Schizosaccharomyces pombe: one gene and its partner. Changing the gene in region 2 together with the main gene of any one other region gives a genetic interaction. Each region holds a gene or a part of one and is shown on either strand. Other genes may lie near its edges.

What was found. Genes that interact genetically often act in the same process or in processes that back each other up.
Region 1: mutations in tbf1 (region 2) and dpe1 together harm fitness less than expected from each alone (positive genetic interaction), as found in Schizosaccharomyces pombe (one large-scale study listed by BioGRID).

What each region holds. Positions count from the first base shown.
Region 1 is NC_003424.3:3,446,326-3,452,229, forward strand, and holds dpe1 (dipeptidyl peptidase), read left to right. Parts: upstream 1-2,003; 5' UTR 2,004-2,038; coding exon 2,039-3,268; 3' UTR 3,269-3,530; downstream 3,531-5,904. Other genes in the region: SPOM_SPAC3A11.11C (pyridoxal reductase), read left to right, coding at 183-1,187.
Region 2 is NC_003423.3:2,370,324-2,379,023, reverse strand, and holds tbf1 (DNA-binding factor Trf1), read right to left. Parts: upstream 5,100-8,700; 5' UTR 4,851-5,099; coding exon 3,393-4,850; 3' UTR 3,285-3,392; coding exon of another isoform or gene 2,577-3,284; 3' UTR 2,537-2,576; downstream 1-2,536. Other genes in the region: nucleoporin Nup44, read right to left, coding at 1-929, 974-989; COG complex subunit Cog5, read left to right, coding at 1,960-2,414, 2,464-2,536, 2,577-3,284; SPOM_SPBC19G7.18C (uncharacterized protein), read left to right, coding at 6,100-6,247, 6,296-6,366, 6,413-6,952; pdc2 (topoisomerase II-associated deadenylation-dependent mRNA-decapping factor), read left to right, coding at 7,441-7,517, 7,573-7,673, 7,781-8,700. UniProt on the Schizosaccharomyces pombe protein: Binds the telomeric double-stranded TTACAGG repeat and regulates telomere length.

The DNA of each region.
Region 1 (5,904 bases), on a different chromosome or scaffold from region 2:
GCGCCATAAAAATCACCACCATTGAGCTGGTTCACATAGACATTTTCGTCTTGAGAAAATATTCACCGAACTCCTAATTTACTGTCAATTGGCTTTTGTTTCTTGAACTAAGGCTATTGTAGTCGTGTTTGTGATACATCCGTTGGAACGGAAGTTGGTATAGTTTGGCAGCATTGCGCACTATGCCGTATATTAACAACTTTTTGGTTGGACCAATTGGTCTAGGATTAAAAAGTCTTACATGGACTGAGAATCCTGTTCCTGATGAAGAAGCGTTTCGAATTATGAACTATGCACTAAGTCATGGATGCAGTTTTTGGGACGCAGGTGAATTTTATGGGCTTTCTGAACCATTAGCCAATTTGCAACTTCTTTCAAGGTACTTTCAAAAGTTTCCCGATAGTATAGATAAGGTGTTCTTGTCAGTCAAAGGTGCGTTTGATCCTGAAACTCACCGAGTTCACGGGACACGAGAATGTATTACCAAAAGCATCAAAACTGTCCGAGAGACTCTCAAAAAAGTAAAGACTATTGATCTTTACCAATGTGCTGCAATTGATCCTGACACACCTATTGAGGAGACGATGGCTTGTTTGAAGGAGTTTGTAGATTCTGGTGACATTCGATGTATCGGTCTTTGTGAACCCTCTGTTGAGGAAATCAAGCGTGCTCATTCTGTTGTGCGGATTGCTGCAATTGAGGTCCATTATTCAATGCTCTTTCGCGAGATTGAATATAATGGGGTAAAAAAACTATGCCATGACTTGTCCATTCCTCTTGTAGCTCATTCCCCGTTGGCTCATGGTTTGCTAACAGGTCGTGTAACTACAATGGCGGACATTGAAAATTTAAAGAAGCATCATCAATGTAATGAGCAGCCTCCCTCAAGCACGTTTAGTTCGACTCTTCCTTGTATACAAGCATTGAAGGAGCTAGCTTCAAAATATGACATGTCGTTAGCAGAATTGGCCTTGAGTTTTATTTTGTCAGCCGGAAGGGGTAGAATTCTTCCCATACCATCGGCGACTAGTTATGATCTCATTGAAGCAAGCTTGGGATCATTTTCCAAGGTTTTAGATACATACCAATTTGCTGAAGTTGTTAGCTGCCTAGAAAAGACTTTACCGCCTCCAGCGTCTCCTAATTCAGAACCTCAAGTGACAGGAGGCTGTTCTAGTATGTGTTGAAAGTTAAAACCATAAACAGCACATAGCCACTGCTGCTTTGCTCAGGTTTTGTTAGGTTTGTGAAGATATTAGTAAATTTTGCTTGTTTCATATGATGCAAAGAGCAACAAAAGTTTGTGAGATGATATTGAAAGAGAGATTTGTTCTTCTATACTTATAAAACGGGAATGTGCCCGGATGTGCTTCATTTAATGAGAAGAACTGAAGAGTAACTGTTGGTGGATACGCCGTTTTAACTACTGTCAACGATCCTTTCATTTTCTATTAGTGTCATAACTTGCAAACAAAAGCGTTTCTTTTTCTTTTAAACTTCAACATTTTCGTTCTCTTGCAAATTTCTTACTACATTTCAATTTAATTGGGATTGTTGACTCGCAACACTCATTCCAAATTTCGAAATTTCTCTTTCTATGTATGTCTTATTAAAAAATTTCCTTTTCTTATATCACATCTTGTTTTTCTGTATATAACGCTATACCGACTTTTGTTTAGAAATGATATATCCATTTTTACTCTATACTGAGGTTTTATTTTTTTAATAGCATAGTAAACATCGTTTTAATAAACAGATTAATTTTTTAAGATCTAGCTATGTAGTCTTGCTCTTAGCGAAGGGTTTGTATAACAACATCAGATAAGCTCATTTAAAGTGACATTAGCACTAGCAAATTAGACATTCAATCTCTGCCAAGTTTTGCTAATTATTAGTTTAACAATTGAATTTTTTGGTAATTGACGGTGAAATATTATATTAAACATCCTGCGCCTTCATCGAGACCCAGCATATATAACCGACGTGACATTTCCACACATCTTAACAATTGCCGCACAAGTAATCATTTTTGAACAAGATGGTTTCCGATAGCAAATTGGAGCTTCCATTACCTGTAAACCAACAAAAACCTCGTAGAAGACGAATTTTAAAGGTTCATCTTTTAATTGCGGCTTTGATTCTGAGTGCGGTTGGCTATTTAGGCAAAGGCAAATGGATTTGGACTCCTGAACGAAAGGCTCACTTTGTACTAACTCATTTTCCTTTAATTGATGGGCATAATGATCTTCCAATATATCTTCGTGAAAATTATGATAATCGCCTTCTAAATATTTCGCTTGAGCACCTTCCTGGACAAACTGACATTTTTCGTCTTCGTCAAGGACATGTAGGGGGTCAATTCTGGTCTGTATTTGTCGAATGTCCTAGCTTGGATTCCAATAGTTCTCTTTCGTGGAATCGCACAGGTGAATATGAAGCTGTTACACAGACTCTTCAACAAATCGATGTTGTTAAAAGGATGGCTCTATACTACCCTAAAACATTCTCTTTGACTGATCATAGCGGTAAGGTCAAATTCGACTTTTTACGCAATCACATTTCAAGTATGATGGGCATTGAAGGTCTTCACCAGATTGCAGGAAGCCCATCCATTTTACGCCAATTCTACGATCTTGGCGTTCGCTATGCTACTCTTGCGCACAATTGTGACAACGTATTCGCCGATGCTGCGGTTGACGGAAAGCGTACTAACAAAGGATTGTCTCCTGCGGGCCGCGATATTGTCCGTGAAATGAATCGTCTTGGTATGATTGTAGATCTTTCACACACCACACCTGAGACCATGCATCAAGCCTTAGATGTATCAGTTGCTCCCGCATTTTTCTCACATAGTTCCGCTAAAGGGGTTTATGATCATCCCAGAAATGTTCCTGACGATGTTCTGATTCGCGTCAAGGAAACTGATGGCGTTGTTATGGTGAATTTTTACCCTGCATTCATTAGTCCACACCCTGAAAATGCTACAATTGATACCGTCGTTGAGCATATAATGCATATTGCCAATGTAACTGGATCGTATCGTCATATTGGCTTGGGTGGTGATTTCGATGGAATTGATATGGTGCCCAAGGGACTCGAGGATGTTTCCAAGTATCCTGATCTTTTTGTTAAATTGGCTGAGCGTGGTCTCAGTATCACTGAATTAGCAGATATTGCAGGCCGTAATGTGCTTCGTGTTTGGAAGACCACTGAAGATCTCGGGCATTCAATTCATGAGCCACCTTTGGAGTGGGAAGACGACTTTTAAACTTAATCGTTTATTAATAAGTCTACCTCTACCTCTTTATTTTATTTTTGGAAAAATTTACTGTATTATTCCATTTTGCCGGTTATGAATTTCTTACGATTAACGACAAACCATGCCTATTGCTTACTCTTTTATGCCCCTTGATGGATCGATTATTTTACTATTAGTTAACTAGCTCTCTTAGTTAATGTAATAAATTTTTGTTTGCTTTGAGATTATTTTCCACAGTATAATTTTTACGCATGTGTCCAATAATATAAAAAAGAAAAAGGAGAGTTAGTTATCCGATATGTGTTCATTAATTGGCAAATGCGAGACATAGAAAAACTCGATAAAAGACTGATGAAATTTGATTTTAACAGCACCCATAGACCCTTCAATCATCAAATAAATAAAAGAAACCACTGCATTAGCAAACATATTTTTTTAATAAATAAAAAATAACACACTTTTGAAAATCAGTTATGAATAAGCATTAAACGATCCCCTTCGATATGAAGAATGTGACCTCCTACGGTTATTATTCCCAGGCACGGGTAAGTTCCAAAAATCGAATATTTGGCCTATGCTGAGCTTCATTATCTTCTTCAACCGGAGAACCCTCACTGCTAACTGCGGCAGAAGGAGCACGCGATGGTCGACGACTGCGCGATTCGGAAACATTGTCAGATAAGAGTCCATTTCTCGTATCACTACTGCTTTCATTGTTCTCGTTGTAAAATGGAACTATACCAGGCCTGGGTATGTTATCATCCTCACTTTCACTGTCCCCAATATTAGTAAGAACTTGTTCACGACGACGGCGTTCTACACTATTTTCACGCAAATGAGATTCCGAATTTTGCCTTGAGTATCTAGGCCTATGATTCTCAATAGAACTCTCAATATGTCCAAGAGTGGGTTCCCTTTGTCTTTCGTCGTCCGGCTCATGTAAATTACGTTGAAAAGTATCATAGGAACGTCGTAAGAAACTGCGAAACTTGCGACCAAAACTTTTTGCCTTCGGATCCCCTTGAGCGAGTTTTTCATCAATTGAAGGTCCATTTGCATCTCGAGAACTGGTATGCGAAATAATGTTTCCTTGAGAATCTTCAACGACCAAGTCTTCGCCAATAAGATATGTCTCGTCACCAGGATTCATTTCTTCTTCTCTATCTTCCTCATTCGAGCGGCGAGGTTGCCGAGATTCATAGTCTTCAGAAGGAAATTCTTCAGCGTCATAGTGGCCTCCGCGTGGTGATTCAGCACGTTCTTCCCGTAGATGTGCGGCTTCAGGAAGCGAGACAGTTGATATATCAGCATCCTCATCTTCTTGAATGTTTACAGGATGACGCCTTCTTATGGAAGAAGCAATAGAGTTGGCAGAGGAGCGCAACGCATCAACTCTTTTAATTGGTAAGCTTTGTCCTTGACGAACACGAGGTAAGTTAAAAGCAAAATGAGAGTCCCTTGTTCTCGTAAACGACAAAGCCAACGTATTAATCCTTTTACCAAGCATGAAAAATGCAATACTGCTTCCATGAACAATGATAGAACTTAGAACCAGGAAACAAACTACTGGCCACATTACTTGTATGCAATACCAGTTTGGAATTTCAGGGTTTTCGATAGCATCATTAGGCTCAGGTACAGTGCTATGTACTTCTAATTCGGCTCGTGCAACCAAACAAGTATACAGTGCACCTACACCAATAGGACCAAAATGACCAGCAAAGAGAGCTTCTCGCCAATTGATAATATCAGGAACAAATGATTTAAATAATAAAACGGCAGGAATTCTCCTTGCAATTAAAATACATATAGCCAATACAACGAGTCGCCATACACTCAAATCCATATGTGGCATGTGAAATTGAGGCCAGGGCATGATAGCACCCACGTATACAAAAAAGGAAAGATTGAGAAGAAGGTCGATAACGTTGGAAACATGAGATTCTTCTGTTTTTTTCGAAAACCATGAGTCCCAAGAGAAAGCAGCACCAGCACAAAAAGAAACTAACAAATCATCGACACCAATGATGGTACCAATACCACCACAAAATAGTGCTAAAACGAAGTAGAATACAAGAAAACTTTCACGATCCATTAATCCTCGACGTTCCGAAAATTTAATCATCTTACGGGCTATTACACCTATTATTGCACCTAGCACACAGCCAAAGGTGCATTCGTATAAAATAATGATACATACCCAATCGCGGCCAGCATGTCGGGCAGGTTTCTCAATAATTAAATAAATAGCTAAATACAGAAAAGGAATTGCCATGCCATCATTACATCCAGATTCGGCCAAAAGCATGTTCCTAAGATGACCTGGGACTCGACGTGCAAATTTACCTTTACCGACAATAGAAGAAGCCAACACTGGATCTGTCGCAGTAATACATGCCGCTATAGCTAATGACTCCAGAAAAGAGAGTCTGGGAATTAAAGCATACATGAAGCCAGTACTTACTAGCCATCCAAAAATCATAACAGGCAAAAGCATAACAAACATACTGCGCCAATGTCGAAGCATATATGCTCTTGGAAGTTCAGCGCCAGCTGCAAAAACTTCGACAACTAAAAGGACTCGAGCAAGTTCCTCGGTGATGTAGTCGGTATTACCCCAGCTGGTGGGAACAAACAGTTTTGCA
Region 2 (8,700 bases):
TAGCGATTTTGTTAAATCATCTAATTTTTTACGTAGCTCTTCTTCATTAGGTTTTAGTGCATAACCACGATGTCGTAAAACATGTACTTTAATTGCAAGTCGTAAAATTCTTTCAGACAGACGGACGTGACGATTTTTCGCCTCGGCAAGTTTGATGCTAAAATCAAGGTCGTGTTTGTTACTTAATCTTCCTAAAGTTTCAACAATTTCACGCATCCGAATACGGTACGTGTTCACTTGTTGAATCTGCATATTAATTCTTTTTTGTACATCGGGGAATCCTACGGCCAAAACGGGAACAACACTGTTGCTTGGTCGATTAGCAACAGCTTCGTCCCATTTTTGTTGGTTATAATTTGGAGGCTTAACATATAGTGCAGCTTGCTCAACAGGAACCTTGTTATAAAAGAACCGCTGAAAAGCACAATCAGGATGGTTGAGATTCCATGCATTCAAGATTTTCTGCACTTGCTCCTCCACGGACGGAGGTTGAGCAGGGCCATATTGAGCATTGCTCACGGTCGCATTTGGGGATATACCTGAAGACAGCAATAAGCTGCTAGGGATCGTAGCATTGGTTTCGTCTACTGGTTTTGTGGGATTGTTGACTGTACTCCACGAAAATAATGGTTGCGTATTTGAGTTGCCGGTTCTTGATGCAGCGTTTTGGCCAAATACAGTACTTTGTGGGGCATTGGTGGTAGTATTGGAGAAAGAAGTGGTCGGCTGTTGTTGTGTTTTACCGAAAATTGAATTTCCAAACGGTGGAGCTGACGAAGAACCAGTAGGGCCTCCTGCACCTACATTAGTGTTTGTGGACCCAAAAATAGATCCAGAACCGAAAGGTGCAGTTGGTTTTGTGGTATTCGACTGGCCAAAAACGCCAGTTGAGCCAATGGAAGGTGCCTTTATTGACGACCCTTGTTGACCTACAGTCGTTAGCAACTTATAACTGATGAATCTCAAAGCATACCAAAAGAAAATGCCATAGCGATTTTGCAATTCTTTTACAAGGGAAGCTTGGCTCTTAAATTCTGTCTATTTGATGGGTTGCAAAATCTAGAGTGAGTGATAGCTATAGCTTCACAATAAAGTCAGTCTGCGGTTAAGTTCGTTAAATGATGCCCTATTTTCAGGAAAGCTACCCTATAGCAATTTTGAGATATATTGCGTACTACTTTATTCAATTTACTCTTTCCTTTGGAATTCAAATTATTACTGTTATTCTCGAGATTTATTGAAACTTCAAATTTTGAATTAAATACCCACAGTAAAATTTTTTTTAGACAAACTACAGCATATTTTTCAAGTATATTCTTAGTCAATTTCCTATAGCAATTTGTAAGTTAATCTCTTCGTTAACTCCAATAAATTTAAATTTGCTTTATTTGAGAGCAAAGATATGAATTCGTATTACATTTTAGTAGTTTATATATACATTTACTGCATTTTTAGTCACTTTGTTTGAAAACTGTAACTGCCTGACGAATGTTTACTTGAGGAGTATGTTGAAACCATACTAACTCTTAGAGCCGCGGATTTCAGTTGGAATTTTAAAAGCCTTCGTGGTTCGATAAAATTCAACGTTCAAATTGATAAGTTTTTCAATCTTCTATTTGAAAATCTCTTTCTTTGTTCTTTAGAATATGAATGAGTAGCATGTTACTTACAATAGTCGGTCAAAGTGTCTAAGGTATACGCTCTCATATACTACATTAGTTGCACCAGACGAAGTAAGCGTATACTTGCAGGATAAAGTTGTAGTGTTATCGTGTTTCGAATAGAAGTGCTAGAATACACTGTTCAATTGCGGATTTTACTTGTTCAAAACATTCGTTGTAAGATTTGGTATCGATTCTGCGTTTTACGATTGATCGTCAAATAAACTAAAGTTAAGTATCATTAAAATCTATGAAATAGCTTGTAAAAATTTCGTTTAAAGCGCTTAAAATTCCTGTTATGGAGTTTCGATATGATTTTTCAGATTACAAAAAATCAGATTTCGATCCAAAGGCGCAGGCTGAACGAGTGTTAATCTCTGTTCATGCTGACTCCGATGTTAACGAAGACAAAGAAGTCGCCAGAAAGAGGTTGGGGTATGCACTCAAAGAAGTAGAGCGGCAAATTACCGATTTGATTGTGCATGAGGAAACCACGTTGACGAAAAATGTATCTAGTTCTTTGAATGCTCAGTCATATTTGCAAGATATCGAGGGAAAACTAGAACAATTGATGTTGGTTTATGAAAGAATTCGTTCGCTGGTAGTCATTCCATCTGAAAATTTGGGTCCCCTTCATGAGGCAATTGTAAATTTGCATTCAACATACATGACTTTGTATTGGCTTGGGGAGTTTTTTGGCATACAAGCAAAGTTATTTCCCCTTTTCCAGGGATCGATTAATGAAAATGAAAAGTATGCTTATTGTTTTGCTCAATGATTTTGGTATGCTAACAAATTCAAGACTTTCACGCTATTATCAAGCATCTTTACTATTACAAGAGTCTGATCAATTATTAAGCCGGTTTCCATTAATGGTATGAAATATATTTTCTGTTTCTTGGCTAATTATTGTAGAAAAGACAATCGTCCGTTTCTTTACTCTTAAAACTTAATATAACCAATCGATCGAGAATTATAAAAGAAACATCCAGCTATCTATTATCACAAGAAGATCAACTTTCTTTCAGTGTGAACTCTAATGGTTTTACAAATGCTTGCTCTGTTTTATATATGTTAGACAAATATTTGTTAGAACAGGACTTAACTCGTCTTTTAAGTTCTCGTATACAGAAGGCCATTATACAATTCGACTCGATTTTCCAACTGTCCCCCACTACACGAAGACTCCTACATAACAGTACAGATCCTTCAGCGGCAAATTCTACTATATGGTCCAAATTTGAAGACGGGTGGTACCAAATTTCAAAGATTGGTGCACAATGCGTCTTTTGGGAAAGGTCACTTCAAAAGGCTAATATTTGTAATCCAGACTACCCAAATTTATTAGAATATTTTCAAATGCAACCAAATTTTATCCTTGATGGTGCAACTATTTGTATCTATTTTTTCAAAGAGCTGGCAATTTCTATCAGCAGCAAAATGCAAATGCTTGATCGCCGTGATCCAATACTCTTGCGGGTATTCCGAAGCGATTTTCAGCGAGTTACGCATATTGTGGAACAAGCTATTGCCAGGTCATCCTCCGAAATTGTAAATAAAGATACACGGGAATGTTCAATTGTAATGAATAGCCTCCGAGTATTAGCACCAAAAAACCCATAGATTAATAATAATTATAATTTATACATAAAATGCCTCACGCTTAATCGTTTTAGTATTTAAAAAAAAATCGCAAACTTAATCAAGAATGAAATAAACTCCTGATACTACTTAATCTCGCCGAAGATCGCCTGTAACACATTGTAATGCTGCGGGGACCACCTGACCACTTTTGAGAAAAAATAGTTTCATATTGCGAGCCTTATCTTTCAACTGAACTTGATTGCGATATTTCAAAACTTCACTCTTTTTGCCTCCAGGACCATAAAGCTCCAAAATTTGGCTCCACCGGGGACCTTTTACTAAATCAAGACCATCAAGCAATGCTTCCTCTTCCTCTTTTGTCCAAGATCGACGATTGGCTACGCGCCTCGTACGCTTGTTATTTAGGTTATTATTTGTCATATGTCGAACCTGATCATAAAGAACGACACTGGATACATTTTGTGTTTCCGAGGAGCCGTCAAAAGTTGAAGATGGTATACCAAATGCGAGACTATCGGTCAGGTCTGAACCAGATTCTGAAGGGGATGATTCGGCTTCGCCAGCCTTAAACCTCAATCCGTTCTTCTTGGATCGTCGTTTGAATGAGTTAGCAGGAATTGGAATGGCCGAAATAGACGAGTAATTGTTATGGATGTAACAAGCAATCTCGCTTAAAAATTTCCCCCATGGATATACTTCATTTAAAGCTTCCTGTGGGGAGAAGTTTGCCAATCTTTCTTTTCTAGCCGTACATTTCTCTATGATTTGCTTTTCAACATAAGTAAGTTTGTCATCCAGCTTAGCATTTCGTCGGATAAGAAATCGATGGGCCATGTCAGAGGGAAAAAGATCGTTTAATATGTCTCCCTTGGGACGTTCTGCCTGAGCCATAGCCGAAATATATGCTTGGGTTTTGAGTTCCATATAAAGAGTGCCCTGATTAGTGAGGATATTAGATTCGTCCGGAGCAAAAACCTCCAGAAAATTTTCATTCAAATGAAAAAATCCAATTTGTAGCGCTCCATAGACAGCTGCCAGAAAGATAGCAAGATTTGCGCGTCTAGTCGTACTTCTTTGACTCGGCGTCCTCATACCAATGGCAGAGGAATAAATAAAAGATTCTTCAGTATAAATGTCCTTTACCATACGAAACATATTCATTACTTTGGTAAAGGCCATACCCATTTCGGAGGCTGGATTAGTGACAATGGCAGATGCCTCTTGTACTGGCTTCCCAAGAATTGACAAAATTATGTTACTAAGGTTACCAAGAGTAGGAATAAGAGATGTACGAAGAAGTTGCTGAGGTGTAGCAATAGGATTAGGTTGGTTGAAAGCGTAATCCATGCCTTGATTCATGCGTAAATAAAAGTCCGGCGTCATATTAAATTGAATTCCGGAAAGATCAAACCCTAAAGGAATTTCTGCATTTGGTGCAACATTTTGAGGCTCGAGTTCAGAATTTTGTTCTGATAATTGTTGTAACATTTGGCGATCTTGTTCGAGGGCAGTTGATTCTGGATCAATCGCTAAGCGTTTTTGACCCTTAAAATCATCACTAGGGTCTAAGGATCGTTTTGACATTTTCTTGGAAATCGTAGTTTTTCAATTGATCAAAGAAAATACAAACTATAGGTGAGAAGCAGTCTGATTAATCGATTGCTAAACAAATCCAAGGAGCAACGATATCCAGTGACTACCGAATAGTAAATCTTGCATCAAAAGTTCCAATTCTTCTTTACTACAAGGTTTTTTAAAATATATCCTTCCAATGCAGGCAAAGTAACAACCAAATGCGAGTTTTCAGGTATTTGTGTGTCAATTGATTAGGACAGCGTATATTTAATTGACTCGTAATAAAAAATCTCTTGCATATTTCACTTCATTGGCGTTCGTTATTTTTATTAACGAATTCCAATAAGCCAGATGTGTTAAATACCATTATATCGTTGTATTTCTTTACTAATTTTATCAACATTTCATTCCTTTGTAGAAGCGATATCTGGACATTATTAACTAATGAATAAGCTGTAACTACTACTAGTAGTTCCTACATATTAGATACAAAATCCGTCTAAATTGGCAAAACTTTTTAAAAAAAAAGACCAAGTCTGTATTGCATCTATTTCTCTATTTCTCAATTGCCTTCTTGTATTTTTCGTTAGCTGTGTAAAATGCAGTGGCGCTTGTTTAATTTACGAGATAGAATTCTGTGCTAAATTAGTTCAAAATGAATAAATACGGTTAATGACAAAGAATTATACGATATAGACTTATTTAACAACTGGGAAATTCCTGTTGAACATATATGCTTGCAATATTAAAATTCAAAACAATCGTATACCACGAATTGATGCCACCAAGGTCTGTTTCATTGAAAGATGGAATGTAAAACGTAGTTCGAAAAAGTTGCATATTTCATCACAAGTGCTTACCAGCCAAAAAAAATTCAGTCTATCAGTTTCATAAGAAATTTCAACAGAACAATCTTGTGTGTCAAATTTTTATTCAGATACGTATTTCTTATTCATGCCAAGTATCACTGTAGTAGCTGGGAAATTTAGATGGTCCTAATCCCTAGAGATTCTCCTTATTCACATCCTCTTACATCAGTATCCAAACTATCCATAAGGCAACAAGTGATGAGTACTATTACCTTTTAGTAGTAGTATTTTTACATTAGAAAGGCCTCAAATTTTTATATATTGGGTTAAATTGTACAGTCCGCAAATAATTTAATTACATTTATTTCGCTAACATAACCCGTATAAGCACGTTTCATATTCTTGACATTATTGTGTAGCCTCAGGAATCGCTTCCAACGTTTATTATCATGGATTTTTTTTGGGAACGAATGTTAAATGATCCTCAAAACCATTTCAGTGATGACCAAAAGGAATTTCTAAATCATGCAAAATACCGTGTCAAAAGAAATACGATTTTTGGGATGCTAGTCGGGTTTTCTCTCCCATTATACTTAGGTATGAGATTTCGAACAAGCAATTGAAAATAACTTTCTTATTTTTTAGCTCGTAACAAAAAGGTTACTCCAATCCGCTTGTATGCAACATCAATTATAGGAGGTCTTGCTGGAAATGGGGTAAGTTTTAAGTAATACTAAGCTCAAGCTTACAAATTATGAATAGGTTGCTCAGATTACTACTCTGGCATACAATTTGTCGGCTATACGTCAAAGAGATGATGGCTTTGAAATACTTCGCAAAATACAAGACTCCCTTATTCGACAAAGAACAACGATGCGACAAGGCAGATTTCCTTCTTCATCTTCTGAATTCCCTCCAAAAAACTCAAAATATCAATTACCTGGAAGTATGCCGAATACTGGTGCCTCTTCTAGTCAAGATCCCTTTACGAATTCACAGAGTACGGAGAAAGAGGACGCCATGTACTCTAAAGACAATGGCTTTGAAGATCGATCAAAGCCAGCGTCAGCATGGGAAGCTATTCGTAACCGTAATCGAAATACCGGTAACAATTCTTTTCCATTTTACGAAGAAGACTCGAGTGTTAAATCCACAGATAGTGCTTTTAGTGGACAAGAAAATTCTGAAGCATTTCCTTCCCGAACTTCTAATCTAGGCTCTGAACAGTTGGATGAACCTATTTCTCACGAACAGGAGGCATTTGATCAATTGATCTGGAATGATTCATCGTCTTCCAAATAATTTCCTTTATCTCTACATGTTACGATAATTTAAAATTAATTTTTACCAATTTGAGTGTCACTGAATTTATGATGTAAAGTAGTTAAATTTAGTAGATATTTCTTTTTTTCTATACTGCATTGCCAGATTGATGTAGCTTGCTTGAGCAAGCAACTTATGTATGTTCATGCATAAATTTCGATACATTTCAGTCTTTCAAAAAGAGATAAATTTAAATTCATATTTATGATATACATCTATACGTGATAGGTTTTAATAGCTAGTCTTGAAGATTGATGTGAAATAAAATAGGGATAGATTTACTGGTATAGCAAACCAAATAACAACTTTAAAATTCAGATATAAAAAAAGAACGCAAAGTAAAAATATATATAAAACGCCATGAATCAGTCTGCGTCGAACCAACCCAATCTACTGTCATGAGTATTGTTGTATGCAGTGCCGCCCACCTAGCTACCACCAACTTCTCATTACCATAAACCCATAAAATGTCATTTTTTGGGTTTAATACTACCCTTCCAAAGGAAAATATGTTTCCTAACGAAGGGCAGTTAGAAGAGGATGGGTAAGTCGTTAATATTAATGTAAATATGATACTTTAAGCTCACAAGTATATTTAGCATTGACTTTGAGGAGACCTACGACGATTTGGGTAATCAATTAAATGAAGCCGGAGATGAACTAAACGACGAGACTTTTGGTGTTAGCGCTGGAAGTATAGGTATGTACCTTTGTGCTTGTGATTCTGTAATCATTCTCGGCTGTCATATCTGGGATATTGCAAGCTATTAGTATTTAATATTTTAATATTTTTTCTCACAATTCTAGGACGTGATTTTGATTTTTCAGGTACTACCGCTCAAGCATCTGCACAATTGGAAGATGAGCAGTACCAAATTAATCAACAAAATATTTTCGCTAAACCTGTCAAACCAGCTTCTTCAGAGTTACCTCAAGTTAGTAGACTTAATGGTGCTTCACAATTTCCTTCACGGGAACCTGCGTCTACTGCGATCAATAAGCTTTCCGATTTGCAGCCTATGGCTTCGATTTGGGAAAATATTGTTCCAGAAAAGCCGGCTATTATTCCACCTGAGGTAGCCTCTCTTCAAGATCGTTTGGGTGCCCAACCATCTGAGAAGGTTTTTAGCTTGCAGGAGTTGGAGGAACAGTTATTGAACTCAATGACCGCTCCAAAACCACCTTCTCAACCCGCTATTCCCATTGTTCCATCCGAAATGGCTGCTCAAGTAACTCGAGAAAACATCTCTTCATTGGACCCGGCGATTAGTGCGGCTAGTATTGGTAATGTTACTTTTGGTCAACCAAACATCCCTAGCACTACAACTGATTTTGCTGGATTAGCTGCTCCTAATATGGTACATCCTTCGCAAGCTATACCCAATCCTGTTATGCAACCTTCCCTTGTACCTCAAATGCCATATCCTCAAAACGGCATGTACAACCCAAGTGTTGCTCCTCCTGCTTCCCTTGTTAATCTTTTCCAGCAGGAACAATTAATTCAAAACCAGAACCTTGATGAAAAACGTCAAAAGTTAGAGCGTGATCATATGCTCATGGCTCAATGTGCTGGGTTAATGACACGCAGTGATAAATCGTTTATTGCGAGAATTCAAATATCGCAATTGATGTCGGAGGATCCCGAATCTGATGATTTTTATTATCGCGTTTACTCAATTATTCGAGGCCGCAAGCCTTCCGAGGAAGAAGCCAGTCATTTTATACAG